Linked DNA regions of Callithrix jacchus. The protein of the gene in region 3 interacts with the protein of the main gene of each other region in a pairwise test. Links are inferred from orthologs where the notes say so. Each region holds a gene or a part of one and is shown on either strand. Other genes may lie near its edges. The genes, in order: MCEE, FARS2, AGTRAP, ECPAS, PDHX, MRM1 and NKG7.

Region 1 (3,981 bases), on a different chromosome or scaffold from region 3:
AACTTGATGCCTCATAAGTCAGTAGAGGGCAAAATTCAGCCTAAGATGGTCTTCTACTATGCCCCAGTCTACAAAATATCCAAAAGATTCTCATCACCATCAGGTTAATATAGCATAGTTCTGTTGATTTTTTTTTTTTTTTTTTTTTTGGTGAAACAGTCTCACTGTTTCACCCAGGCTGGAGTGAAGTGGTGTGATCTGGGCTCACTGTAAACTCCGCCCCACGGGTTCAAGCAATTCTCCTGCCTCAGCTTCCAAGTAGCTGGGATTACAAGGGCCCGGCACATATCCGGCTAATTTTGTATTCTTAGTAGAGATGGGATTTCACCACGCTGGCCAGGCTGGTCTCGAACTCCTGACCTCAGGTGATCCACCCTCATCGGCCTCCCAAGTGATAGGATTACAGGCATGAGCCCCTGCACCTGACCTAACTTTTGTATTTTTAGTAGAGGCAGGGTTTTACAATGTTGGTCAGGCTGTTTCTTGAACTCCTGACCTCAGGAGTTCTACCCACTTCAGCCTCCCAAAGTGCTGGGATTATAGGGAGGGGTAAGCCACCATTCTGTGGTATATACACACAACGGAATATTATTCAGCCTTAAAAAGTAAATTCTGACACATGCTAAGATATGGATGAACCTTGAGGACATCATGCTAAGTGAAATAAGCCAGACACAAAAAAGAAAAATAGTGTGTAATTCCACTTTATATTAGCAGTCAGAATTCACAGAGAAGGTAAATGGTGGTTGCCAAGAGCTGGCTCAGAGAACAGGGAGGTGTTGTGTAAACGGGTACAAAGTTTCAGTTTGGGTAAGATGAAAAAGCTCCCTAGAGGAAGGTGGTGACTGTTTGTTGCACAACAAAATGAGTGTAGTTAAAGCCACTGATATACTTAACAATGTTAAAATGGCAAATTCTAGCTGGGCGGGATAGGTCACGCCTGTAATCCCAGCACTTTGGGAAGCCTTGGGGATAGGTCACGCCTGTAATCCCAGCACTTTGGGAAGCCAAGGCGGGAGGATCACCTGAGGCCAGGAGTTGGAGACCAGCCTGGCTAATATGGTGAAATCCCGTCTCTAATAAAAATACAAAAAATTAGCGGGATGTGGTGTCAGCAGGCGCCTGTAATCCCAGCTACTTGGGAGGCTGAGGCGGAAGAATGGCTTGAACTGGAGAGGTGGAAGTTTCAGTGAGCTAAGATCACGCCACTGCACTCCAGCCTGGGTAACAGACTCTGCCTCAAAAAAAAAAAAGGTACATTTTCCTTTACATATACTCAATCACACACACACAAAAGTGGAGCCATTAAGTTTCAAGTATTTCAATAAAACAAAGTCAATCTTTGGAATACACTATCTTCATTTTTCCTTTATGCCAAGAAGTGTATGTAAGTTACAAAACAAACATGCATCTTTATCTGTATTCAGTTCTTGCAGTACGTATATGACCTGTTGGAAGTCATACTCTTCCTAAACCGTCAACCATTAAAGTGTGCAGTCTAAAAATACAGACATAAAAGTACCTTTTCCCAAATATTCATTTCTTTATATTTTTACATTCCGATTTTGTGTATCACCTAAGGAGAGGGCATGCCTTACGGTTAAGAATGTGGGCTCTGCTACTAAAAGGATTTACATTGAATGTCCCAGATTAACTCTGGGCATTACCACTTGGCACCTTCTTCCTAATAGGGAATCTCAGATTAAGGTAAATGCTTGCCTTCTCATAAAAGGGGGAAGAGGAAAAAAAAAAAGAATAAAAAGAGGAGTAAGTGAGAGTCAGAAAACGTGACAATTATGACAGTTATTTCTGTCACAACTGGTTCTATCTACATATTTTTTAAAAATGAAAGCGGAGCGAACTCAAGGAAGTTTACAAATCCACATGTTTTTATCTTTCTAAGTACGTGATAATAAATATATTAGTGGATATGGGAAAAAAAGCACTCCTTTTGGGATTTTTTTTTTTTTTTTTTTTTTTTTTTTAGAGAGGGTCTCGCCCTCTCGCCCAGGCTGGAGTGCAATGGCGCAATGTCAGCTCACTGCAACCTCCGCCTCCCAGGTTCAAGCGATTCCCCTGCCTCTGCCTCCCGAATAGCTGGGATTACAGGCGCGCGCCACCACAACCGGCTAATTTTTTGTATCTTTAGTAGAGTCGGGGTTTCACCATGTTGACCAGGCTGGTCTCGAACTCCTGATTTCGTGATCCGCCCGCCTCGGCCTCCCAAAGTGCAGTGATTACAGGCATGAGCCACGGCGCCTGGCCTCCTTTTCTATTCTTTACACGACCTTGGAGTGTTTCCAATAGCTGATCATGCTAGGAGTTCCGCCGAGGAGGACTTGCTCTCCTCTCTGGTTTCTCCCCAGTCTTTTTATTGGTGCGCGGTAGAATAACTTAACAACCCGCTTCTATTTACTTCTGTCCCTGGCCTGCCTGACCAGCCGGGCAAGTTCCCTTGCCTCTCCTGCCCGCATGCTAGAAGGTGCAGCGCCCAGGGCAAACAGCTCCTAGATGGCAAGGGGACTCATGCACAATAAGGCAACCCCCGCGCTAAGGGGAGGCGTTTCTGGAAGGGACCCCCTAGGTGCTGGCAGCCACCGTAGAACGCGTCCTCGGAGGAGAGAGGGCATTAGATCAAGGGCTTTGGCCACGCCGAGGCCTCCTCTGCCCCTTGACCTCCGTTCCCACATGCCCAGCCCCACGGCGACCTTCGCCGGTGCCCAGTATTCACCTACGGAATTCGCGGCCGCCGCCTTCAGCGCGCGCGCCATCTTGGAAAGCAATCCGCTACATCCCGACTAGCTTGGGACCAAGAGAGACGAGCTGGGGAGGGCGGGGCGGGAGGCAGAGGGGGCGGGGACAGATAGTTTAGGGGCGTGGCGGAGGTCGCTGCTTTCCTGCTACAACATGCCTACTTTAGCTAAAGGAGGAACTTAAAGCCAGAACTGGTCACCCTTTGTGGGCCCCTGAAAAATACAAAACGAAGTTTGGAGAGAGTTCAAAGGCGTCTGGGCTGACCATGGCGATTTTTCTTTCCCGCCCCCCTGCAGAAGCGAAAGCGCTCGCGCCGCCTTTGGCTCCAGCTGAGGGTGAGTCCGGAACCCCCTGTGCACAGCGGAACTTTCGACTCTGAAATCCAAGTTGTGCTAGGCGCATCTTTGCGGAGCGGTTTCCTGGCGGCTCACTTCCCTTGCATGCGGCTTTGTGTCGGGAGTTCCTGACAGCCATGGCACCGACGTCGACAGTCTGGCGTCGACGGACCCTGGAGCTCTGTCTGACAGAAGTCGGCAAAGCCACTGGTCGGCCCGAGTGCTTCCTCACGTAAGTGCGCGGATCCCGGGCTCTGGGTGCGACCAGGGTCTCACGTGGACGCGGGTTGCCGGCCTCCGGCAAACTGTGGAGCTGGGGGAAGGTAAGGGGAAATGTAAATAACTTTTCCCCAAATTTCAGAGTTTATACCTTCCTAGGCTATCACAATTTTTAAAATTGTTAATATTTGTACAGTATGGATCTGTCAGTTGAGTGTTACTGTAATCACCCCAACCTCACTTATTAACGCCTAGATGCTTCCCTTGAGGCTTCTTTCGCCCCCATCCGTCTACACGCAAGCTGTTGGTTCCAACTATATGCTCCTAAAGCACTCAGTGTTGAGCATACTTTTTTGAATGTATGAACTGGTCACTTGTCTCTCCGCCCCCACCACTAAGCTTCTTGATAATTAGAACTTTCATGTCTCTTCCCAGCACAAGTGTTTTACACGTATTTTGTTGAAGAATTTCAAATATGATCTATAATATTATTAGTCATTTATATTTCAAACTCCAACCTCTCCTTGAGTTCCCGGCTCATAGTAACTGCAGACTGAACTTGGTTTGAATTCAAGTTCACAACTGGGATATCCGCACTGTACAACTTTTAACGATTTTTAAAATTTTGGTACTGTCAAGCATCTCAAATTCACTGTGTCCAAAATAGAGTTGT
Region 2 (4,051 bases), on a different chromosome or scaffold from region 3:
GTGTGCTACTCACTGGCCATTTCCACGCTCTAGGGAAGTTTTACGTATGCAACATATTGGCCTTAACTTCACCAATGGCTGATTTCCATCTTTTTTTTCTCTTCTGCAGAAACATAACACTAATCATGCTCCGAGAGCACCAACCAAGGTAGACTTTAGGGGGAAAACGTTATAAGACGTGAACGTCTTCCCTGGTAGAAAGAAGAGCAAGCCCTCCGCTCCTCCCCGAGGTCTCAGAGGCCACACCTGCAGGCAGGAGCACGCTTTTCTATGGCGGAACCCGGTCCCTTTCTCGCGGCCGCCGGCGCAGGACGGTGGTTCCAAGGACATTCCGCGGCAGCCCGCGCCCCCGGCCCCCGGCCACCGGCCCCCGGCCCCCGGTCCCCGGCGACCGCCGCGTCACCTGTAATTGTAGGCGCTGAAACGCTTGCTTTCTCTCAGCATAGCCCGGTACAGATCTAACACTTGTGCGCGGCTGGAGGCTGCCATTTTGGAAAGAAAAAAACAAACGGGTCCTCTTCGGAGAGGTCCCAAGTCCAGCCCAACCCACGGAACTTCAGCCTGTGCAGAAACTACGAACGAAATAAAGTGCGGCGGCTCGGCCTTGCCAGCTAGGCGGGCACCCCTGAGGACCGCAGACGGCACCCGGCATCCCGGGCCTCTTCCAAGGCGGGCACAGGCAGGCCTCGGGGCAGCTAAGGGGGCGGTGCCTGGAGGGAGGTGCCTCCGCTCCGCCCAGCCCCCGGCTGGAGGCTCTGGACCCAGCAGCCGCTCCAAGCGGCTGAAAGGCGGGGAAACTAGAGGCCTGGCCGTCGGGGCATCCAGCCAAGCCCCTGGGGGACGAAGATCGGAGGCGCGAGCATCCGAGAGAACTGCAGTTGCACCACGGAGAGCCTTTGCGAACCGTCCGGGGTCTTGGAGGGGACATTTGTGTTTCAAGGCGCAGCGGCCCTTAGTACCTCCAGGAGGCTGCGTTGCCAGGGTTACCGAAGGCCGCCGCGCCGAAGGCCCGCCCTTGACCGCCGATTCCCCGCCCCCACTGGCTGCGGCCGCCCTCAGTGCTGCCTGAGAGGCCTTGCGGGATTTCAAGGGTGACTTGACTTCGCCCGATCCTGCTCGGCTGGATGGGGTTTCATGGCCTTCTCTATGTTGGGAGGCGCGATGTCTGGGTGTGGAGGTGATGAGCCAGGGGTTCTGTGGTACTCCGGCGCTGCTCAGGGCGACCTGCATAGGGGCCTGCGGGACAGGCCCGCTTTCTGTCAAAATGGCGGTGCCCAGCGTACAGGGGTGTCTCTTCAGTTGGGGTTTAAGATTCTTGCCCTGAGAGCGAACTAGCCTGCCACGCTTCCGATTTTGAAACACTTGGGTCTGGGTTTCCCGGGAGAGCGGTGGGTGAGTGCCGGCCTCGTTGCAGCCTGGGGTGCGACGTGGGCAGTTGGTGTGGTAGGGGGTTTACATTGGCCGTGGATTTTTTTCCTCTTTCCTGATGTGGATTTGCTTTTGAGTGAAGTGTCCCCGTGGTTTTGTAAACTAATAAATTTGTAAAATGCAGCCTGGCTGTAGACCTCGGAGAATAATTAGAGACCTTTAGGGGTTTAGGTATTCTCCAAGAAGCAGAGCAAGTTTTCTCCCATGGCTTGACCTAAACTTTTTTGAATTACCTTATTAAAGTGGTGGATAAAGTTGCTTGTTCTAATTTTTGAGCATGGGACTGGAGGCAGGGAAGCCTCAGCCAATTCTAGTACTGTGTTCGCAAAGCAATTTTCTTATTTTTGGAATCTTGCTTTACATAACCTTAGGAAGAACGACACCTTTCTGCATTCAAGCACAGTGAGGAGTACCTTTATACGTAAAAACAAAAGGGCTGGACGCAGTGGCTCCCGCCTGTAATCCCAGCACTTTGGGAGGCCGAGGCGGGCGGATCATGAGGTTAAGAGTTCAAGACCAGACTGGCCAACATGGTGAAACCCCGTCGTTGTGACATGGTAAAAGCCCCATAAAGCTGCATACCTCAACCATACCTAGGCTTTGTGTTGAAACTGCTCTCTGTAACCCTGATGTGACAGGCAAGCAGTCCAAACCCACGCCATCTTGGCCCCTGCGACTTGTAATAAGTAACTAAGGTCTGTAATTTCCACCCATATCCAGACAACGTGTAAACTAACACTTATCTTGACTTCTGTAAACCGCTTAAGCCACAATCGGAATATCCAAAGCCCTCTGGCCCTGGGAATGTCCGGAGCCCCTCACTCTCATCTCCGCCCCAGAGGTAATTTACGGAATCCACTGGCCCTTGGAATGTCTAAAGCCCCTCACCCTCACCCCCAAGGTGGTTTACAGGCGTAAAAGTTCTTGACACCCTCCTTTCAGGGCCACGGGTTGGAGAGACGAGAGTCCTCCGTGACCGCCGGCAATTAAGACCCTGCAATTTGGCATACTTTTGTCTTGGTGTTAACTTTCTATGCTCGGGCCAGTACAACACGCTACTGAAAAATACAAAAATTGGCTCGGCCTGGTGACTCGTGCCTGTAATCCTAGCTACTTGGGAGGCTAATGGAGGAGAATCAGGGACCTGGGAGGTGGAGGTTGCAGTAAGCCAGTTACAATTGTTTCAACCTATTAAGGAATTTAATCATTAATGTATATAATTAATGTATCTAAATGACTCAACTTTGTGGTAATCAAATAAAACTTCCAAGTAAATATGTATAGTTTAGATAGTTTGGGTAGCCTTGTCCTCTGTTAGTACAAGCAATGGTTGCAGTTAGGAAAGCGATAGCTTCCCAGTTAATTCTGAGCCAAGTCTTCACAAAAATACCTCATTATTTTATTTAAAATGGTTTACCAGTTTGATGGACATCATTGCCTTGAGAGGCTAATAGAAAATATTAATTCAAAAGCTACATCTCACTTTTGCATATCTTTATTGTGGAGATGCCTTTTTTTGTTTTTAAAAAAGAAGAAAGTAACTCTATTTGAGACTGTAAGTAGAATGGGCCAGAAGCTGAAGAATGGACCATACCCATATGTTCCTTAACATGCATTCTGTTCTGGGTTGAAATTTTTCTTAGGGAATATCTACAATAGGAGGTACCATTTAGGAATCAAAACATAAAAATTTCTTTAGTATTCGTTTTTCGTTTATCCAAAGTTATCAAGTAACTATAGTTCTTTATGTAAAATCTTGTATTATCTTCTATTAAAATTAGGGTTGTCCATGACCACCTAGTGCTGTGTGAAGAGAAATTTCTCAAATCATAATAAACAGCATAACAACAATTTACTGTCCTGAAGCTTAAATATCAAAGTGATGTATGGAGTAAAATTTGTATAGAAATAGTAACTTATGATATTATTTAGAAATTATTCAGGTGGGCATGGTGCTGTACACCTGTAATCCTAGCACTTTGGGAGGCCGAGGCAGGTAGATTACTTGAGCCCAGGAGTTTGAGACCAGCTTGGACAACATGGCAAAACCCCATCTATACAAAAAAATACATCATAGCAAACCTCATCTCTACACAAAAAGTACAAAAATTAGCTGGGAGTGGTGGCAGGTGCCTGTAGTCCCAGCTACTCAGGAGACAGCGTGTAGTCCCAGATACTCAGGAGACTGAGGTGGGAGGATTGCTTGAGTCCTGGAGGTCGAGGCTGTGTTGAGCCATAATCACGGTACTGCACTATAGCCTGAGCAGCAGAGTGAGACCCTCTCCAAAAAAAAAAAAACCAAAAGAAAAAAAATTATTCTATCCTACACCAGACATGAATCTAAGTATTATACATTGATCCTTCATTTTAATAGAATATGAAGGGGGAAGACCTTATATATCAACTCATTCATTTGTATAGATGAACAAACTCAAGCCTTCCTCATTCCTTCCTTCCTTCAGCATTTATTGAAGACTTCGTAAGTACCATAATTTATTATTTTTTTTTGTTTTTTGTTTTTTTTTTGAGACGGAGTTTCACTCTTGTTGCCCAGGCTGGAGTGCAATGGCGCAATCTCAGCTCACTGCAATCTCTACCTCCCGGGTTCAAGCGATTCTTCTTC
Region 3 (4,082 bases):
TAGGTTGGGCGAGGTCTTGGTGGTCCGAGAGTGGGGGCAGGGTGGATAGGGCGTGGCAGTGATAGGGTCAAGTACGTCACTTGTCGTTCAGGTATGGCTGAGGAATTTCTGGCGCCCGAAGTGAAGTAAGGAGCATACTGCATCAGCGCCTTTTCCATACTTATCAAGAAAGAACTACAATATTAAGATTTATATTACTCTTACTGATTATCTTTTCTAAGAAAAAAGGAAACAGGAGCAGAAGTAGAACATGAGAGTAGCCATGGAACGTGATCACGGAAGCACAGCATCACATAGAAACAGTTAAGCCTCCGGATGTCTGCGGGCCTACCTGACAGCCGTCAGGCCTACCACAAGAGCTTGGAGAAGCGGAGTTTTCTCCAAACTTCCCCAGGAAGGAGACGTCTCAGCCATTTTGGGCATCTCCTTCCCTAGCTGGCTAAACAGCGGGCGCTTTCCCGGCGCTGGCGCTGCCGCACAGTCGCGGCGCCCTCCAGCAGCCCTTATACAGGCGTGATAGAGGGCTTAGAGCATCTTGCCTTAGTGTCATTCATTTCACAAGTCACCCCAGGTTCACACTTCCGACCTGAGAGGCATCAGCAAAAGAATTAAGATCACCTATAAATAACTAAGATCACATATGAATAACTAATAACTACTAGGGTTATATTTCTAGTTGCTTTCTTCTTCATTATTTATACGGAAATAGGCTGAGGCCTTTTGCTCCAGGCTTGGCGCTTATGGGATCTCCCCCCAACACCCCACAGCAAGTCTTCAACAGTACTGGTTTAACAATTGTCCCAATAACGTTTTCTTTAACAACAGTGGTTAGCTCATTTAATCCTCACAAGGATCACCTGAGGTAGGTATCCTAAATAACCCATTTACACAGGGAAGTGGGGAGGAGACAGGGTGCCCCCGGGGATGAGGCACAAGCTGTTTCCACATCAGCACTTCGCGCCTGGACGGTCCCCCAGTTGTCCTGGCTGCAGGTAGTCCCATCAGCCCGCCTCCTGGGATATTTGCCAGGCAGGAAACCTCCTGAGCGACAGAAACTCCAACTTTTGCCAGCGGCCTCCAGGTACTGCCTGGGCAGCGGCGGGAGCCTGGAGCCTGGGGGAAGGCGCTCGCTGCGGACGCCGTCTCCAAGCAACGGGCGGCGGTCACGTGACCCGCCCGAGCCCGCTTCACGTGGTCGCGAGCTGCGCTGGGGTTGGAGTCTCCGCAAAGGGCGGGGCGGGACCGGTGAAGTTTTTTCCCCTGGGGCCCAGGAGCCCCAGCTGCTGCCGCGCAGGTGCCCTCGGCCTGGGTCCGGATGGAGCTGCCTGCAGTGAACCTGAAGGTGGCGACGGGCGGGGCAGGGTCCCCTTTGCGGGAGGGGGTGGGACATTTGCATTTTCCAGGAAGGTGGGAGGACTGAGGGATGGGAGGGAGAAAGGGAAGGTACAGACCCCAGGAGAGAAGGAGGTGGGCAGGCAAGCCACAGCAGGAAGAAGGATCCAGGTACAGGCCAGCAGGGTGATGCAGAGCGGCCGTTGGACGTGGCAGGGCAGGGCTAGGGCTGTCCCCTCCCGGACTGAGACCCTCCAGCGGGCAGGGCCGGTCCCACGTGCTGTGGCCCACACGCCCAGAATTCCCCTGGAGGAGGAGGAGGAAGGCGGGCGGGAGGGGCTTGGAGGCGGCTCACCTCCCCGGCGTGAGTACAGGGGCTGGGCCTGTCCCCGGGTCCCAGCAGCGTCCCGGGAGCCTCCTCCTGTGCTAAATCGGGTTAAGGAAATCACATGTTCCCAAACAATTCGTTTTATAAAGTTTACACATCCAGCGCCCTTACTTCATAATCAAGAAGCACGAACCCCAACAGAAATTACTTAAAAGCAGAAAACCCCAACTTTGTGCACTTGGGAAAACTCTACAGAGCTTCCTGGGGTGTCTTCATTTCCCGAGCCCTGAGCTCAGCCGGGTCTTGGTGCCAGCGGCTGTTCTTTTTCTCCCCGCCCAGCCCCACCGCCCCCGTGTCTGGGCTCTGTTTGCGTTAGTGGGGCTAGGGGCTTTAACTTTGGTCAGGAAGCTGTGGACCTTGAGCCAAACCGGCCATTTTGGGTCTTAGTGCAGCCTCCTTTGAGGCAGTATCCGGGAATGTCCTCTTACTCATGAGTGACAAAGCATTTAGCACCCTGTTGGTGTCTGGGACTAAAGGAACCTGAGAGATAGATGGTTACAAAACAGTGGCTTAATACACGTTTATTATTATACAACATATGTGCTATGACTTGCATTGGACACGTTTCCCTTTTTTTTTTTTTGCGACTGAGTTTCACTGTTGTCGCCCAGGCTGGAGTGCAATGGCGTGATCTCAGCTCACTGCAACCTTCGCCTCCCAGGTTCAAGCGATTCTCCTGCCTCAGCCTCCCAAGTAGCTGGGATTACAGGCGCCCACTACCATGCCCGGCTAATTTTTGTATTTTTAGTAGAGATGGGGTTTCGTCATTTTGGCCAGGCTGGTCTTGAACTCCTGACCTCAGGTGATCCCCCTGCCTCAGCCTCCCACAGTGCTGAGATTACAGGCCTGAGCCACTGTGCCAGCTACATTTCCTTTCTTAATCATACACATGCTTCAGCAAACCTTCCTGAACGTCCAGTCAACAGCGGAGGGGAGAGATGGCTGGAGCAAGGGAATGGGTTTGCATAGAAAGTTCAGCTGGGAAGAAATTTACATGACAGCAACCTAGATTTGTTGGTATCAGTATTCACTCTATCCCAGGCAAGGTGGGGTTAACACCAACTGCCTTTTCTCTGATTAGGGATGTGCTTAAAATAATTGCTAAGAGAGGATCAGGTGAGATCGGTGGGAGAGACAGAGCTCTCATTTATGGGCGTCTGTGTTGTGCCAGGTTATTTATTTAATCAAGGTAACCTTATGAGAAAGCTGATACAGTCATCTTTTTACAGATTAGCAAACTTCAGCTCAGATTGGGTGACTTGCCAAGGTACCGCAGGGAGTAAGTGGCAGTGTCAGTATTTGAACTCACAGGGATCAGACTCCAGGGCCAGGTCCTTTCTGGGGTACCAGCTTACTCAGGGCTGACTTTGACCTCGGCTGTTTGTGTCCTTTGGGAGGGCTTAGTCTCTCTGAGGTTTTTTTTGAACAACTTTTTGGGCCTGACAGGCTGAGCATCCACAGGTATGAGCTATGCTGGCTTTCTGTATCCAGGATGAAAAGGCTGGTCCTTCCCTTGACTTGGCACATAAGACCCCCTGTCTCCAAGGGTCTTGGCCACTACCAGAGACAAGAAAGTGCTGGGAGGCCCTGAGGGATCAGGGTTGCCAGGTCATATATAGAATCTCCTATACATGACCAGGTGAACTTGAATTTCAGATCAACAACAATCAGATTTTTACTTTTATTATTTATTTATTTATTTTTTTGAGACGGAGTTTTGCTCTTGTTACCCAGGCTGGAGTGCAACGGCGCGATCTCAGCTCGCTGAAATCTCCGCCTCCTGGGTTCAGGCAATTCTCCTGCCTCAGCCTCCCGAGTAGCTGGGATTACAGGCACGCGCCACCATGCCCAGCTAATTTTTTTTTTTTTTTTTGTATTTTTAGTAGAGATGGGGTTTCACCATGTTGACCAGGATGGTCTCAATCTCTCGACCTCGTGATCCACCTGCCTCGGCCTCCCAAAGTGCTGGGATTACAGGCTTGAGCCACCATGCATGGCCCCCAATCAGATTTTTAATATGAGTATGTCTCAGGCAATATGTGGGACATATTAACCAATTATTCATGATCTGATGTTGGAAATTAACTGGGTGTTCTGTATTTTTTTTTGAGATGGAGTCTTGCTCTGTCACCCAGGCTAGAGTGCAGGGGTGCGATTTCAGCTCACTACAACCTCTGCCTCCCGGGTTCAAGCGATTCTCCTGCCTCAGCCTCCTGAGTAGCTGGGACTACAGACACACGCCACCATGCTCAGCTAATTTTTGTATTTTTAGTAGAGATCGTATTTCACCATGTTGGTCAGGCTGGTCTCAAATTCCTGACGTCATCATCTGCCCACCTTGGCCTCCCAGAGTGCTGGGATT
Region 4 (4,000 bases), on a different chromosome or scaffold from region 3:
AAAAACCAAGTCAACAGGTATCTATCTGTGGCTAATGACTGATAATTTAACCGAACAAAGGAAGGGGAAGGCAAGGATTTCAATTATTTGTTCCTAACTTGCCATTAACTACTAAAGCCAGGAAATCCCTTAACTATCAGCATCTTAACCAGTACCTGAATATATGGAAGCACACTGCATAGACCCAAATACTTCAGCCACTTCAGAATGCCCAATTCTTCTTCCTCTAGTTTTGTTCCCCATTCCTGCTAGCAATTCAGATTTGAATGTGTTTGGTGTTACAACAGGAAGTCAGATGTCATATAGCATAACAATTGAAAAAAAAAATCAGACCACCTCACACCTATCAGGATGGTTACTTCTGAGAACACAGATAAGTGGTGGCCAAGATGTACAGAAATTAGAACCCTGTGTATCGTTGATGGGAATGTAAAATGGTACGACCACTGTTGAAAACAGTCCACTGGTTCCTTAAAAACTTAAAACTAGAATTATCACATGATCCAACAATGACATTTCCAGGTATGTACCCAAAAGAACTGAAAGCAAGTAGATATTTGTACAGCTATTTTCACAACAGCGTTATTCCCAATAGCTACAAGGTGGAAGCAACCCAAGCGTCTATAGACAGAGAAATGGACAAGAAAATGTGGTATATACACACAAGGGAGTATCATTCAACCTTTAAAAGAAAAAGAAATTCTGACACATGCAACAACATGGATGAACCTGGAGAACATTATGCTAAATGAAAATAAAACCAGTCACAAATTCTGTATGATTCCATTTACATGAGGTACAAATATACTCAAAATCACAGGAACAGAAGGTACAACGATGGTCGCCAGGGGCTGAAAGGGAGGAGGGAATAGGGATTGTTGTTTAATGGGTATCAGGTTTCAGTTTTGCATAATGAAGAGTTCTAGAGACGGAAGGTGGTGATGATTACACAACAGTGAGAATGTGCTCAATCCAACTGAACTGTACACTTAAAAACGGCAAGGATGGTAGGTTTTATGGTATGTGTATTTTTATCACAATTAAAAACAAAACACAGAACTGATCTCAGAAGGCCTGGTGGTGCTTCCACGTGGAACTGTCAGAGTAGCAGCCTATTCAGCCCACTTGTATCTCTAACCGCACCATGAGACCTTGCCTTCTCCGACTCTCCAATCTACTCAGGATCACACCAAGTGTTTACTTCAGCTTCAAAAAGAGCAAACAGTACTCCCGCTCCACCAGTTCTGTGTCAAAGCAGCAAGGAACCTAATCTCTCCAAACCTGCCTCCTCTTTAAAACAAGGATAATTCCTACCTATCTGCCTCACAAGGTTGCTATGAGGGCAAAAGTGAGATCATGTATATAAAAGTAGCTTTAAACTGACAAGCACCAAAGAAACATAAATTACGTGTATAACTACTTTCATATGGAAATTCAGAAGCGGCTTTAACAACGTAAGCTTCATAAAGCTTGCAACACCGCATCCACTCTTTATTCCATTTAAAACCCACATCATCTACAAATAACACCTTTCTTGTTTTTGCCATAAACTGAAGGGCAGCACTGACAAATAATAAATAAAAGGAAGAAAGAAAACCCTCGGAAAATAAATACCCAAAACGCAATCAGAAATTATCTCACATGTCCTATGTCCTATGAAAATTCAGTATTTATGACCCCAGCGTGGGCCCGCGGCGCCCCGGGACTACACTTCCCACAAAGCATCGAGGCGAACCCCGGGGGCGGGCGGGGCGGCCTGGGATTCAGGGTGACCACTGCTCTCCCCGGACAGGGACCGCCGTCCCTGGGAAGGCTGCACCGCGTACGGTCGAGGGGGCACTGACCCTCCTTTCTGAAAGCGCTGTCACCCCGCGGTTTCTCCAGCGGTTCATCCCGCGACCCTCTCCGCCCTCCCGCCCTCCCTACTCCACCCGAGGGTCACCGCCTATTCGTGACCTTTCGGCTGATATTCTAGAGTGTCACAGAAAGGCACCTTCTCCCCCTTCCCGAGAGCTACATTTCTAGAACTCGCCAACCGTCGGGGACCCGAGGCCACGGCGGGGTCAGACGGGACGGACGGACATTGCCCGTCATCCGGAGCTCCGGCCCTCCTGCCAGCCAAGGCTCGGCGGGCCGGGGGCTAGACTCCCCCCACCCAGGGCCAGGGCGGATCGCGGGCAGAGGTGGCTCCGCCTGAGGCTCCGGTTTCAATTTCGCAACGTGACGGTGCAAACCTGAGGCCTACAAACGCCAGCGGCGACGGCCCGCGCCCCGCCCGCCCACAGGCCCGAGCGCCCCAGCCCCCCTCACTCCGCGGCCGCCGCCCGCCCGCCCCAGCCCTCCTACCCGGCCCCGGCCGCCGCCCCCCCAGTCCCGCGCGGCTTCTGTTTCGGCTCGTGGCCGCAGGCTCGGCCGCAGCACTTACTCAGCTCATCCTGGGAGGCGGAGGCGGCGGCCGCAGCCATGTTGCGCCGGGGAGGGAGCGAGGGAGGAGCTGGAGGGGGAGGGTGCGGCCAGGGGGCTCGCGGCTCGCGGTGCGGCAGAGGCCGGGAGCCGCCTCCGGTCACTCGGCGCGGACGGCGCTGCGCCCCGAGGCCCGCCCGCCGCCGCCGCCTGCGTCCTCCGCGTTGCGAGCGTCGCTCTTCGCTGCCCCCGCGAGCTCGCGACTCGGGCGCTCCCGCAGCCTCGCGCCTCTGCGGAGCCGCCGCTGCCGCCGCCGCCGTCTGTGTGGCCGAATCCCCGTGCGCCAGGCCCGCGCGGCGGCTCTGCGACTCCGCGCTGCACTCGCCCAGCTCACGCCGGTTTTATATTTAGAAAGAGCTGAGCCATCCTCCCAGCGGCCCCCCCGCCGGGCCCCTCGCGCGCCCGCCCGCCCTCGCTCGCTCGCGGCTCGTCCTGCCCACCTGTCGCCGCCCGCCCCGCGTGCGCTACCCGCGCGGACCCGGCACGCGGCGGTCTGCGCGGGCGGCCCGGCCTCACTGCCCCGCCGCGCGCGCGGAGCCAGCCTGGCGCGGGCCTCTGACCTGAGTCGGAGCCTGTCTCCATGCCGCGGACGCTGAGTTCGGCGCCGCGAAGTGAGGGCTGTGGAGCGAGGCGTTCGGCGGGCCGGGCCCAGGGAGTCTCAGTCCGTGATGGGCTGGGCCGAGCGGGCCCGGGCTGCCCTGACGGCTAGGGGAAGTCCTCGAGGCGGCGCCGGAGCACCCTTCTCCGAGGTCTGCGGCTGTCACGCTGGCTGGGCCCGACCTAGGGAAACACGCCTGTCCAAAGGAAGAGACGTGGACTCGGAAAAGTATAGCCCGGCTAGGAGTCGGCGGGAGGAAGCCCCGCCCTGCGCCTCCTGCCGAACTTCTCGGGCCCGGCGCTGACTCAGTGTCGGGCGAGCCCCTGCGCCGCAGTGGCCCCCTACAGTCCCGTGCTGGGGTGGAGGTTGCTGGTGCTCCCGAAACGACTGACGGGAGCTGAAGGTTCACTCAGCCCTGCAAAAGTTAGATGAGCAAGATTCCTAAAGTTTACAGGGAAGTACCTATGCCTATGTGAGCTCTAAGATTTTGTTGAGATAGCATACGTCTTTTTGGTAACCAGAGTGATTTATTTTAGATGTGCTGATTTTAACTTTCTGCCTTTTCTTTGTCCGTGAGGTCTTGTACACTTGCAAAATGAAATTCAAATTAAGGGGTTGTATAATTGCTGTACTTTAAGTGATGGTATTGTCATAACAAATTAGATACAAGATCAGGTTTTTGTTTTTTTGGTATAAGAAGAAATGACTCTTAAATGGATTGAAATTGCATTTATTCTTTAAAGCAGAAATCTGTAAACCCCTAAGTAATGTCTTGAAAATGGAATATATGTCATTCCTGTGTAACATAGGCCATGTACAAGGTACAACAGTGAAGACATTCTTATTTCCTTTATTGTTTTTATTATAGAAATTATACATGATCTTTGTAAAAAATGCAAATGATTTGGAGTATTATAAAATGAAAAGTGAAAGTCCTTC
Region 5 (3,500 bases), on a different chromosome or scaffold from region 3:
TTGGCAAAAATATAATTAATTATTGGATATTAAACTTCTAAAAATTATTTTAAGAAAATATATTGCCTAATACCACTGTAACTTAGCATAGTGAGTTAACAGCTTGACATATTTAGTAATCTAATTACAATTTTTTTACAAGGCAAAGATAACTTTGTTTTAAAGAATAATACAAAGGCAAGTCTGTAACTAGTTATTTTTTTCATTCTAAAAAATATCATGGGTTAGATTTGTTACATTAGGTTGTACTGATGACATATTGAGCAAAATTTAAAATGCTTTGGTTTCCTGGTCATGAATAAGCTGATTTGCACCTTAATAAACAATGAAACAATAAGTGAACAATAATATAGAAAATATTGTGGTGAAAGCCATGTTTACAATAAACTTGGCACTTTTTGAATGCCATGTGAATATCATTTTGTGAGCATACAGGATGAGAATATGGTTTAATTGTTCGTGTACCAGATAACATCCACTGCACGGAAAAAAGACCAATTTCCTTTTTAAAAATCACTGTCTATATCCAATTTTAATAAAATTCTAACTATTATTTGGTTTTTGAAAATATGCAAATATTAAAACATGACAAATAATGGGAGTCCACAGACCAGGTAAGAAACAGGATTTAATTTTCTAGGTCAAATAATTGGTTTTTAATAATAACCTTGACATCTGTATGTTTCTGTATCTTTTCTCCACATTTCATCTGCATTTTCTTAAAGCTCTCTTAAAATCCTTATTGCTAATTGTGGTTATCTACTTTGCTCTTATTTCCAGGGATGCTCTCAGACTTGCCCAGTTGAAACAGATGGGCAAGATTACCGAGTCCAGACCAGCCCCAGCCCCTGCAGCCACTCCCACAGCACCTTCACCCCTACAGGCCACAGCTGGGCCATCTTATCCCCGGCCTATGATCCCACCAGTATCGACTCCTGGACAACCCTTTGCAGTGGTAATGTTCTCTAAATGGATTTTTCTTTTTGTTTTTTGAGACAGAACCTTGCTTTGTTACCCAGGCTGGAGTGCAGTGGCACAATCTTGGCTCACTGCAGCATCTGCCTCCCAGGTTCAAGAGATTTTCCTGCCTCAACCTCCCAAGTAGCTGGGATTACAGGTGCGCACCACCATGCCCACTTAATTTTTGGATTTTTAGTAGAGAAGGGGTTTCACCATGGTGACCGGGCTGGTCTCGAACTCCTAACTGAAGTGATCTGCCTGCTTTGGCCTCCCAAAATGCTGGGATTACAGGCATGAGCCACTGCACCCGGCCTGGATTTTTATTTTTCAAATTTAGTGAAAGAGAAAATAAGAACAATTACTATGTGTTTTAAGAGTAGTTTTAAAACAGATTCGTTTTACTAATCTGTTGCAGTAGTAGCTAAAAGCAATAAAGAAATAAAACACTCCAAATGCTTCGTTTTACAGATTTTCTATCAGAAACCAAAATTTGTATGTTAACTTTCAAATGAACATTAGAACTATAATTCAATTTAAACATTAGAACTATAATTCAATTTAAAGTTACCACAAGTTCCACAACTTCAATAACATATATATTCTCTATAATATCATGTCTTTTTTTCTCAACTGTAATACTAATAATTGGTACCTGACACTAGCTCCCTTTTCTGGCTGTTTTATTTTTTAACTAGGGAATTGCTAATCCCACTATAAAGAACTATATAGTCATTCTTTCCTTCTCAGATGCATGCAGTATAGCAGCCCCTTTTGTTTTCAAATTACTCCATTTTGCCTCTCTATCTTTCCTATTCAGGTTACTTCCTATCAGAAGAAATGTAGGATAACCAAGTTTATTTAAGTGCGCAAATGGGCACTTAAAAAAATAAAAAGCAAAATAAATAGATAAATCGGTACTCCTTCTAATGGAGAACTATATACTAAATGATATTTTGAAAGAGTTTAAAACAGTACAGCCTTCATGGGAAACAGATTTTCAAATATTCATTCATGATTAATATACTACATACTGGAATAACCTACTTTTAAGGACATGTAATTGGACTATATAGTGTATAGTCCAAGAGTGAACTATACACTCAATATAAGATATGTATAGTCCAATCATATGTCTTTAAAAAGTAGGCTATTCAAGGCTGGGTGTGGTGGCTTACACCTGTAATGCTAGCAGTTTGGGAGGCTGAGTTGGGAGGATTGCTTATGCCCAGGCATTCAAAGACCAGCCTGGACAACATAGTGAGGCTTCATCTCTACAAAAAATTTAAAAATTAGCCGGGTAGTCAACTACCCAGGCAACAGAGGTTAGGGAATCACTTGAGATTGGGAGGTTGAGGCTGTAGTAAGCTATAATCATGCCACTGCACTCAAGCCTGAGTTACAGAGGAAGACTATCTCCAAAACAAAAAGTTATTCAAATTAGGAAGGTAAACCATACTTTCAAATGCTTATAATATGTGGAGAGCATTTATTCTGCGTCACCAAGTACTTTGCTAACATAGTGTTTAATTTCTTTCAGTTGCTTTGTATTATCTTGAAGTGATTGTAATGAAATCCCAAAATAGAGTTAAGGACAAGAAAGGAGTTAGATATAAAGTCTATTGTGCTTTGTTGTCCATGGAACAGAATGGAACAACTATAATGAAGTTACCAGAATATTTTATTATCTCATTCATACTTTCTATTATGAATCCCTAAGAAATAAGATACTCATGTTATTTTTAAAAATTGCAAATCAAGATAGAAGTAATTGAATTGCCTGTATAGAAGGTCCCCACCTTCTAATTTTCCTTGTAATTTCTTTGATCCAAAAGTTGTTTATAAGTATAAATTTAATTTCAGAATATTTGAAGACCCTTCATTTACCTTTCATGATTTCTAGTTTAACTCCACTGTGTTAGAGATGAGACACACTGCGTTTTTAGAACAATCATCTTCTCAAATTTATTGAGATTTATTTTATATTTATAATATGGTCTGTCTTGGTGGATGTTTCTTGTGTACTTGAAAAGGTGGTTCAACTTAAAATTTTTTGACTTTACTATGGTGTAAAAGTGATACACATTCAATAGAAAGCAATACAGTATGTACTTGCAGTGCTGGGGAACATTGGGCAGCTACAGCTCCCAGTTAGCCACATGATCATCAGGGTAAACAACCGCTACTCTGCAGTGTACGGTGTAGCCAGATGATTTTGCCCAACTGTAGGCTAATGTAAGTGTTCTGAGTACATTTACGGTAGGCTAGGCTAAGGCTAAGCTGTGATGTTCAGTAGGTTAGATGTGTTAAATGCGCTTTTGACTTATGATATTTTCCACTTACGATGGGTTCATCAGAATGTCACCCATTGTAAGTCAAAGGGCAACTATATATTAATAGTTGGTTTGTTGATTTATTGGCTGTTTTATTTCAGTTGTGTTAAGTGATATTTGTAACAAAAGTTGCTTACAGATGGCCTATGTCTGTGTCTCTCTTCTTTTTCCTCTCTCCATGTATGTGTGTACACCCACACATATCTATTG
Region 6 (3,500 bases), on a different chromosome or scaffold from region 3:
TCTACTAAACCCAGGAGGCAGAGGTTGCAGTGAGCCTAGATCTGCCACTGCACTCCAGCCTGACAGAGCAAGACTCCATCTCAAAAAACAAAAGTTAGGTTTGAAATGCCCACCTAACAGCAAAACAACAACTGTGGAGTAGGCAAGTAGAGGAGTGAAACTGGAACTCAGAGGCATGGTCCAGCCTAGAATATACAGTTGGTGGGGGTGGGGGGTTGGGGGGTGTCGGGGGTTGAATTCAGATAGTATTTAAAGTCATGAGGCTAGATGAGACCAATAAGAGATGAACATATATGGAAAAGAGATCCAGGGCCAGGTGAGGTGGCTCACGCCTATAATCCCAGCACTCTGGGAGAATAAGCAGGAGGATTTCTTGAAGCCAGGAGTTTAAAAGCAGCCTTTGTAACCTCGTCTCTACAAAAAAAAAAGAAAAAGAAAAAAAGAAAAAAATTGGGTGCAATGGTGTGCACCTGTATCCTCAACTACTCAGGAGGCTGAAGTGGGAGGATGGCTTGTGCCAAGGAATTAGAACACCGTACTGAGCTGTGATTTGGCCACCATACTCCAGGCTGGGCAACACAGCAAGACCCCATCTCTCTTTTTTAAATTTTTTGAGATGGGCTTTTGCTCTTGTTGTTCAGGCTGGAGTGCAATGGCGCGATCTCAGCCCACTGCAACCTCCGCCTCCCGGAATGCAGCAACATGGAGGCCATTGGTGACTTTGACAAGGCCTTGGATTCAGTGTGACAGGAGGGGCTGACTGCTATGAGATCAAGAGAGTGAGAGGGGAATTCAAGCAATTCTCCTGCCTCAGGATCCCAAGTAGCTGGGATTACAGGCACCTGCCACCACACCCAGCTAATTTTGTATTTTTAGTAGAGATAGAGTTTCTCTATATTGGTCAGGCTGGTCTCAAACTCCTGATCTCAGGTGATCCACCCACCTCGGCCTCCCAAAGTACTGGGATTACAGGTGTGAACCATCAGGTCCTACTGAAGATTTTTTTTTTTTTTGAGATGGGGTCTCACTCTGTCACTCAAGCTGCAGTGCAGTGGCACAATCTCAGCTCACTGCATCCTCCGCCTCCCGGTCTCAAGAGATTCTTGTGTCTGAGCCTTTTGTGTAGCTGGTATTACAGGTGCCTGCCACCAGGCCCGGCTAATTTTTGTATTTTTGGTAGAGATGGGGTTTTACCATGTTGGCCAGGCTAGTCTTGAACTCCTGACCTCAGGTGATCTGCCTGCCTCAGCTTCCCAAAGTGCTGGGATTACTGGCTTGAGCCACAGTGCACGGGCTCTGATGAAGATTGGATGAATTAGAATATGAGGACCAGGCGAGGTGGCTGACACCTATAATCCTAGCTCTCTGGGAGATCAAGGCAGGAGGATTGCTTGAACCCAGGAGTTCCAGACCAGCCCGAGGAACATGACGAAACCCCATCTCAGAAAAAAAAAAAAAAAAAATGCAAATACTAGCTGGGCATGGTGGCAAGTGCCTGTAGTCCCAGCTACTTGGGAGGCTGATATGGGAGGATCACCTGAGCCCAGAAAGTTGAGGCTGTGGTGAGCTGTGATTGTGCCACTGCTCTCCAGCCTGAGTGACAGAGTAAGACCCTTTCTCAAAATTAAAATTAAAAAAGAATTAGAACATGATATCAGGGCCGGGTGTGGTGGCTCACACCTGTGATCCCACTACTTTGGGAGGCCGAGGTGGGTGAGTCACCTGAGGTCAGGAGTTTGAGACCAGCCTGACTAACATGGCGAAGCCCCATCTCTATTAAAAATAAAAAATTAGCCAGGTATGGTGGTGCATGCCTATAATCCCAGCTACTTGGGAGGCTGAAGCAGGAGAATTCCCTTGAACCCAAGAGGCAGAGATTGCAGTGAACCAAGATTGTGCCATTGCACTCTAGCCAGGGCAACAGAATGAGACTCTGTCTCAATGTCTCGAAACAAAAGATAGAACATGATATCTTCTTCCTCCTTTCAGACCAAAGCCCAGCAGGGCTGGCTTGTGGCTGGCACGGTGGGCTGCCCAGGGCCTAAGGTTCCCCAGTCCTCCAAGATCCCCATCACGAGCTCCTTGGAGTTCCTCTGGGATCAGCCTACTCTCCTTGTGCTGGGTAAGTGGATGGCCCTGCTTTTCTTTGCTCAGATTACATTTCCCGAGCAATTGGGTGTCCAGCTGGGCAGCCCTAAACCTTGGCCCCATGCCCTGCAGGGAATGAGGGCTCAGGTCTGTCCCAGGAAGTGCAGGCCTCCTGCCAGCTGCTCCTCACCATCCTGCCCCGGCGCCAGCTGCCTCCGGGATTTGAGTCCTTGAACGTCTCTGTGGTTGCAGGTGCGTCTTGTCCCCTTCCCTTTCCTCTCCCTCTAATCACACAGGTGGGATTGGATTCCCTCCAATCCCGTTTGCCAGCTGTCTGTGTGCCTCAGTTGCTTTATGTGCAAAATGGGGAAAATACATCCTGTTGGTGAAATGAGGGGCTGCCTGGCACATGTCTAGTCTCTAGACATCCTCCTCTTCTGTCTCTCTTTCTGTTCCTTGTGTCTGTGCAGGAATTCTTCTTCACTCCATTTGCAGCCAGAGAAAGGGTTTTCCCGCAGAGGGGGAGAGAAGGCAACTTCTCCAAGACCCCCAAGAATCCTCAGCCAGGTCCAAAGGACTCAGCGTGGCTCAGCACCCAGGGCTGTCTTCAGGATCAGAGAAAGAGGCAAAATGAGGGCTGAGGCAGACTGTCCGCGACGTACACATGCTGTAGTCAGGGACTACATCGCCTGCTCCAGTGTGCGGGAGGCTCTGCCTGAGTGTGCATCAGGCCCATGTTTATTGACCACAGTCTGCCCGGGAGAAGGGGACTGCTGTGGAGGCCAGAAGAAGCTGTTTCCTGTCGTGATGTTGGACCTGTAGTAGGATATGGTAGTTTGTTGATTTCCATGATGGGCTAGCATGGAGGGAATCTGTCCTCCCAGGCCCTGCCTGGAAGTCGGGGGGAGGTTCAGACACCTGCAGGGAGGCAGGCAGCCCAGCCCAGGGACCCTGTTCTTCTAGAGCCGGTCGTTGCCCGTGGCGAATGTGTGTGTGAGAATGTGGGGGGTGGAGAGAGCGGGGCCTCGATATGGGTAGACAGTGCGCATGCGCAGGACCACACGCGGCCCCCACCGTGGAGCCCTGAGCTCAGGCCTCATCTTCCTGTGGCTCGCTACCTCGGCTTGTCTCAGGGTTGTGAGGCTCAAATAAAACGTCAGCCAGCACGTGGTAGATTCTGGCCTATTCCTCCATTAGGTGGCAGCCTCGCTCTTCTGTCCAGTCTTCAGGCCGCTTCCACCGCCACCTTGCTGGGGAGACTCCCGGCTGCAGCCCCATGAGAGGCCAGGGGAAATTAGCAAACATCTCCCACCCCACTGGGACCCCTACGGGTGACGGAGTCAGTTCCCCTCAAGGGGAGGACCTGGGGGCAGGCTTGCCGTGGATTGTGCAACGGAAACAGATTTGGTGCT
Region 7 (3,931 bases), on a different chromosome or scaffold from region 3:
GGAAACTTACAGTCATGGTGGGAGGTGAAGGGGAAGCAGGCACCTTCTTCAGAGGGTGGCAGGAAGACGTGTCAAGCGAAGGCAGGAGGAGCCCCTTGTAAAACCATCATGCCCTGTGAGAACCACTCACTAGCATGAGAACAGCACGGGGAAGCCATCCCATGATTCAATTACCTCCACACGGTCTCCACCTAGACACACATGAATTACGGGGATACAATTCAAGATGAGATTTGGGTAGGGACACAAAGCCTAACCATATCACCCTGTTTCACAGAGGTCAGGTTTTTCTGGGCCTTCTTCCTGGGCTGTGGCACCTTCACCTTATACCTGCTCACGGGTGAATGTCGCCAGGACCTGATGTTGGTGTGGATGGAAGAAGCTAGCGTTTGGAGGGCTGGAGAACCCTGGACTGGAGTCCTTATGTCCCCCAACAACCCCTAAGCCCCCAGTCCTGGTGATTAAAGGCCACCAGGCCCACCCAAGCAGAGATGCCACTGAATTCATTAATCAGATGAAGATGTGGGCATGTCTGCAACTCTGCAAACCTTTCAGAATTGTGAATCTCTGCTGTTTACCTGCCCTTAGCATATGTTCCAAACGGGCCCAGGATTCTGAGCTTCTGCCCGCTCCTTCCTCCCTCAGGACCTGGAGTTCAGGCCCCCAGTTCCTTCTTCCTTAAGCCCCAGGAGTTCTAACTCCCAAGCCCCCTCCTTTAGCAGAGACCCTAGACTTGGGGCCTTCCCCTCCCAGAATGGAAGACTGCAGAACCCACAGGAAAGCATGACACATCCCCAACTGTCCCCTCTGGCCACATCTCCCCACCCACTTAACACACACTCTAGCCTGGCTGGCTTCCTCCCACCTCAGGGCCCCCAAGCCTCTTTCTCTCTCTCACCTCTTCCTGGAAGCCCACACTTGGTGTTGAGGGCTCCACAGGTGGGAGTCATAGGACCTGTGACAGAGGCAAGTTCTAAACCACCACCCAAACCACTGACGATCTGACACCCTCCGTGTCCTCCCCCACCACACATGAAGGAGGGAACCGGACCCCGGGGAGGGGAGGGAGGACGTTGCCTGTGCAATCCAGGAAGGGAGGGTATGTGAAAAGAGTCAGCTACCGGGAACTGTGTGAAACCAAACCAGCCTCATTTGACAAAGCACAGGACCCCTTGCTGCCCCAAGACTGCTTCCTGGTCGCTCTTTCTTGAGCTCAGAGGACCCAGGAGTCCAGGTGCACAGCCTCCAGGTGTACAGCTTCCTCCTCTCTGAGATTCCAGTCCGATCAGCAGCCTCTTCCTCCCTCAGGACCCAGAAGCCCCGAGCTTACCCCCATGGAGCCCTTCCGGTCCCTAGCCCTGCTTACGGGCTCCCTGGGCCTGATTTTCTGCCTGATTGCTTTGAGCACCGACTTCTGGTTTGTGGCTGAGGGTCCCACCTTCTCAGCTCACTCGGGCCTCTGGCCAAATGAGCATGGGGACCCCGTAGCAGGTAAGGGGAGGGGGTGTCCTGGGGTGGGGGAGGGTTGCCAGAGGAGACGGTTGCTCAGTGGTCTCCCCGTGATCAGGCTACATCCATGTGACGCAGAGCTTCAGCATCCTGGCTGCCCTGTGGGCCCTGGTGTCTGTGAGCTTCCTGGTCCTGTCCTGCATCCCCTCATTGTCTGCTCCTGGCCGAGGCCCCCTTATCTCAACCATCACAGCCTTTGCTGCAGGTAAGGACTCTGAAGTGCACTGGGGCATTGGGAGCCAGCAAATTCCTGCCGAGGGACTGAACCATCTTTCTTGTCCTTGTCTCCAGCCCTCTCCATGCTGGTGGCCATGGCGGTGTATACCAGCGAGCGGTGGGATCAGCCTCGAAACCCCCAGGTCCAGACCTTCTTCTCCTGGTCCTTCTACCTGGGCTGGGTCTCAGCTATCTTCTTGCTCTGCACAGGTGACTATCCTGCCCACTGCCCTGGGGAGCTTGGGAGGGCCCAGCTGGGGTCGCTGAGGATGGAGGGCAGGGGGCAAGTGCTTAAACTCTTTCTGACCACCCAGGTTCCCTGAGTCTAAGTGCTCACTGTGGCAGCCCCAGGCCTGGCTATGAAACCTTGTGAGTGGAAGGCCAGAACAGCAAGACGAGTTTTGATTGCTGTATTCAAAGGCCTCATCTGGAGCCTCGGAAAGTCTGGTCCCACATCGGTCCCGCCCTTCCCCAGCCATTTCTCCTGTTTCTTCATTCATTCAACAAAATTTGGCTGGAATCTGGCTATTTGAGATTAATTCTGCCAAGACATAAGCCAACCGTCTGCCAGCTCCATGGTGGGTGATGCCAGGCACCCAGGGAAGGTGAGGGCCCACCAGGCCGACCACCTGCAGGGCGCTCCTGCCCAGCAAGAGGGCCTGACCTGTGTCTGTCTCTCCCCTTCTCCAGTGCTTTTCTTTCTCCTGGTGTCTTTCTCCCTTTAGCCGGCTCTCTTTCCTTCTCTCTCCCTCTCTGATTTCATCCCCCTTGCCAGAACTCGGTCCTTCCTTGCACTCAGTCTCTCTCAGTTCTCTTTGCACATTTCCCCATGCTGGGGACACAGGCACGGGCCAGACTCAGACCCTGCCCACCACGGGCTCAGTCTGTGAGGCAGTGGGGAGAAGGCACTTACAGACCAGAAGCAGCTAATACAGGTCAGACAGCAGGCCCAGTGCAGGCAGGACACTGGAACAAGACTGACCATATTGTGGAGGGATGGAGATGACTTCTCTGGAGAGAGAATGTTTAGGGGCTTCTTAAGGGCCAAGTAAAGGAAATATCCAGGCAGAGGGAACCAAAGATGGATGCACAGAAAGGTCAAGAATCTTGTGGGGATGAAGAATGGTAATTTATGGCCAGGACATAGAATGTAGCGGGCAGGGGATGGAAAAGGAAGAGGGAGAGGCAGGTGGGGGCTGTGTCCTCTAATGTCACACTGGACTGTCTCCTGAGTGTGATGGGGAGTTCAGAGAAAACTGGGCAGGCGAGAGACAGTGTCAGCTCTGGGTGCCAGAAAGACCCCCTTGTAGACATGGAGGGGAGGCCAGAAGGTCAGGGAGGAACCTGGCAATGTAGTAGGTGAGACAGGACAAGGCCTGACCTGGGACCAGGAAAGGAGGGAATGAGCCAGATAGATTCAAGGGCAGGAGGAGCAGGACTTGGGGACCCAAGACTTTTCAGGGTGAGAGGCAAGAAGAGGGCAAGGACAGTGCCCAAGGGTCTGGCTCAATGAACTGGATGGGACGGCAGGGCCATCCCTCATATGGTGGAAGACACTAAGCTCAATTGGGATATGGTGGACTATTAAGGCCCTGAGGGGCAGCCAGGAGCAGAACTTGAGTCTGGGGCTCATGGGAGAGACCTTGGGTTGGGGATGGAGTTTGGGAGGCTGTGACAGCATTAAGCGGCACTGAAGCTGGTGGTGAGGAGGCTTTCCTGGCAAGGGAGTTCAGGGTGGAGCTTCAAGGGATACCCAGATTTACAAGTGAAGGGGAGAAGGCAGAGGAACAGAAGTCTGTAAGACAGCTGGGGACCTGGAGAGCTTCTGGGGTGCCTGGAATGTCAAGTTTCTTTCTTTTTTTTGTTTTTTGTTGGAGTTCAGTGGTGTGATCTCAGCTCACTGCAACCTCCATCTCCTGGATTCAAGCAATTCTCCTGACTCAGCCTGCCGAGTAGCTGAGATTACAGGCATGTGCCACCATGCTGGCTAATTTTATTTTGTTTTGGCATTTTTGAGATGGAGTCTTGCTCCGTCACCCAGGCTGGAATACAATGGCGTAATCTCACCTCACTGCAACCTCCATCTCCTGGGTTCAAGTGATTCTCTTGCCTCGGCTTCCCAAGTAGCTGGGATTACAGGTAACTGCCATCATGCCTGGCTAACCTGACTAATTTTTGTATTTTTTTTTTCTTTTTTTTTGAAACA

Evidence for each region.
Region 1: the proteins of AGTRAP (region 3) and MCEE interact in binary tests that used the Homo sapiens proteins (3 or more experiments, as listed by UniProt). The two-hybrid records come from large-scale screens. The link is inferred for Callithrix jacchus from reciprocal best matches to the Homo sapiens genes AGTRAP and MCEE.
Region 2: the proteins of AGTRAP (region 3) and FARS2 interact in binary tests that used the Homo sapiens proteins (3 or more experiments, as listed by UniProt). The two-hybrid records come from large-scale screens. The link is inferred for Callithrix jacchus from reciprocal best matches to the Homo sapiens genes AGTRAP and FARS2.
Region 4: the proteins of AGTRAP (region 3) and ECPAS interact in binary tests that used the Homo sapiens proteins (3 or more experiments, as listed by UniProt). The two-hybrid records come from large-scale screens. The link is inferred for Callithrix jacchus from reciprocal best matches to the Homo sapiens genes AGTRAP and ECPAS.
Region 5: the proteins of AGTRAP (region 3) and PDHX interact in binary tests that used the Homo sapiens proteins (3 or more experiments, as listed by UniProt). The two-hybrid records come from large-scale screens. The link is inferred for Callithrix jacchus from reciprocal best matches to the Homo sapiens genes AGTRAP and PDHX.
Region 6: the proteins of AGTRAP (region 3) and MRM1 interact in binary tests that used the Homo sapiens proteins (3 or more experiments, as listed by UniProt). The two-hybrid records come from large-scale screens. The link is inferred for Callithrix jacchus from reciprocal best matches to the Homo sapiens genes AGTRAP and MRM1.
Region 7: the proteins of AGTRAP (region 3) and NKG7 interact in binary tests that used the Homo sapiens proteins (3 or more experiments, as listed by UniProt). The two-hybrid records come from large-scale screens. The link is inferred for Callithrix jacchus from reciprocal best matches to the Homo sapiens genes AGTRAP and NKG7.

Annotation. Positions count from the first base shown.
Region 1 is NC_133515.1:42,764,122-42,768,102, reverse strand, and holds the start of MCEE (methylmalonyl-CoA epimerase, mitochondrial), read right to left. Parts: upstream 2,801-3,981; 5' UTR 2,772-2,800; coding exon 2,732-2,771; intron 1-2,731. Other genes in the region: MPHOSPH10 (U3 small nucleolar ribonucleoprotein MPP10), read left to right, coding at 3,227-3,321. UniProt on the Homo sapiens protein: Methylmalonyl-CoA epimerase involved in propionyl-CoA metabolism.
Region 2 is NC_133505.1:25,187,323-25,191,373, reverse strand, and holds the start of FARS2 (phenylalanine--tRNA ligase, mitochondrial), read left to right. Parts: upstream 1-1,251; 5' UTR 1,252-1,392; intron 1,393-1,799; 5' UTR 1,800-1,985; intron 1,986-4,051. Other genes in the region: LYRM4 (LYR motif-containing protein 4), read right to left, coding at 404-489. UniProt on the Homo sapiens protein: Is responsible for the charging of tRNA(Phe) with phenylalanine in mitochondrial translation.
Region 3 is NC_133508.1:49,618,120-49,622,201, forward strand, and holds the start of AGTRAP (type-1 angiotensin II receptor-associated protein), read left to right. Parts: upstream 1-1,282; 5' UTR 1,283-1,315; coding exon 1,316-1,342; intron 1,343-4,082. UniProt on the Homo sapiens protein: Appears to be a negative regulator of type-1 angiotensin II receptor-mediated signaling by regulating receptor internalization as well as mechanism of receptor desensitization such as phosphorylation.
Region 4 is NC_133502.1:159,831,371-159,835,370, forward strand, and holds the start of ECPAS (proteasome adapter and scaffold protein ECM29), read right to left. Parts: upstream 2,801-4,000; 5' UTR 2,466-2,800; coding exon 2,426-2,465; exon of another isoform or gene 2,347-2,425; intron 2,229-2,346; exon of another isoform or gene 1,994-2,228; intron 1-1,993. UniProt on the Homo sapiens protein: Adapter/scaffolding protein that binds to the 26S proteasome, motor proteins and other compartment specific proteins. May couple the proteasome to different compartments including endosome, endoplasmic reticulum and centrosome.
Region 5 is NC_133511.1:100,321,495-100,324,994, forward strand, and holds part of PDHX (pyruvate dehydrogenase protein X component, mitochondrial), read left to right. Parts: intron 1-780; coding exon 781-955; intron 956-3,500.
Region 6 is NC_133506.1:96,873,309-96,876,808, forward strand, and holds part of MRM1 (rRNA methyltransferase 1, mitochondrial), read left to right. Parts: intron 1-1,989; coding exon 1,990-2,122; intron 2,123-2,220; coding exon 2,221-2,340; intron 2,341-2,558; coding exon of another isoform or gene 2,559-2,722; exon of another isoform or gene 2,723-3,254; intron 3,255-3,500. UniProt on the Homo sapiens protein: S-adenosyl-L-methionine-dependent 2'-O-ribose methyltransferase that catalyzes the formation of 2'-O-methylguanosine at position 1145 (Gm1145) in the 16S mitochondrial large subunit ribosomal RNA (mtLSU rRNA), a universally conserved modification in the peptidyl transferase domain of the mtLSU rRNA.
Region 7 is NC_133523.1:44,955,802-44,959,732, reverse strand, and holds the start of NKG7 (protein NKG7), read left to right. Parts: upstream 1-1,131; 5' UTR 1,132-1,334; coding exon 1,335-1,491; intron 1,492-1,567; coding exon 1,568-1,714; coding exon of another isoform or gene 1,715-1,800; coding exon 1,801-2,048; coding exon of another isoform or gene 2,049-2,098; 3' UTR 2,099-3,931.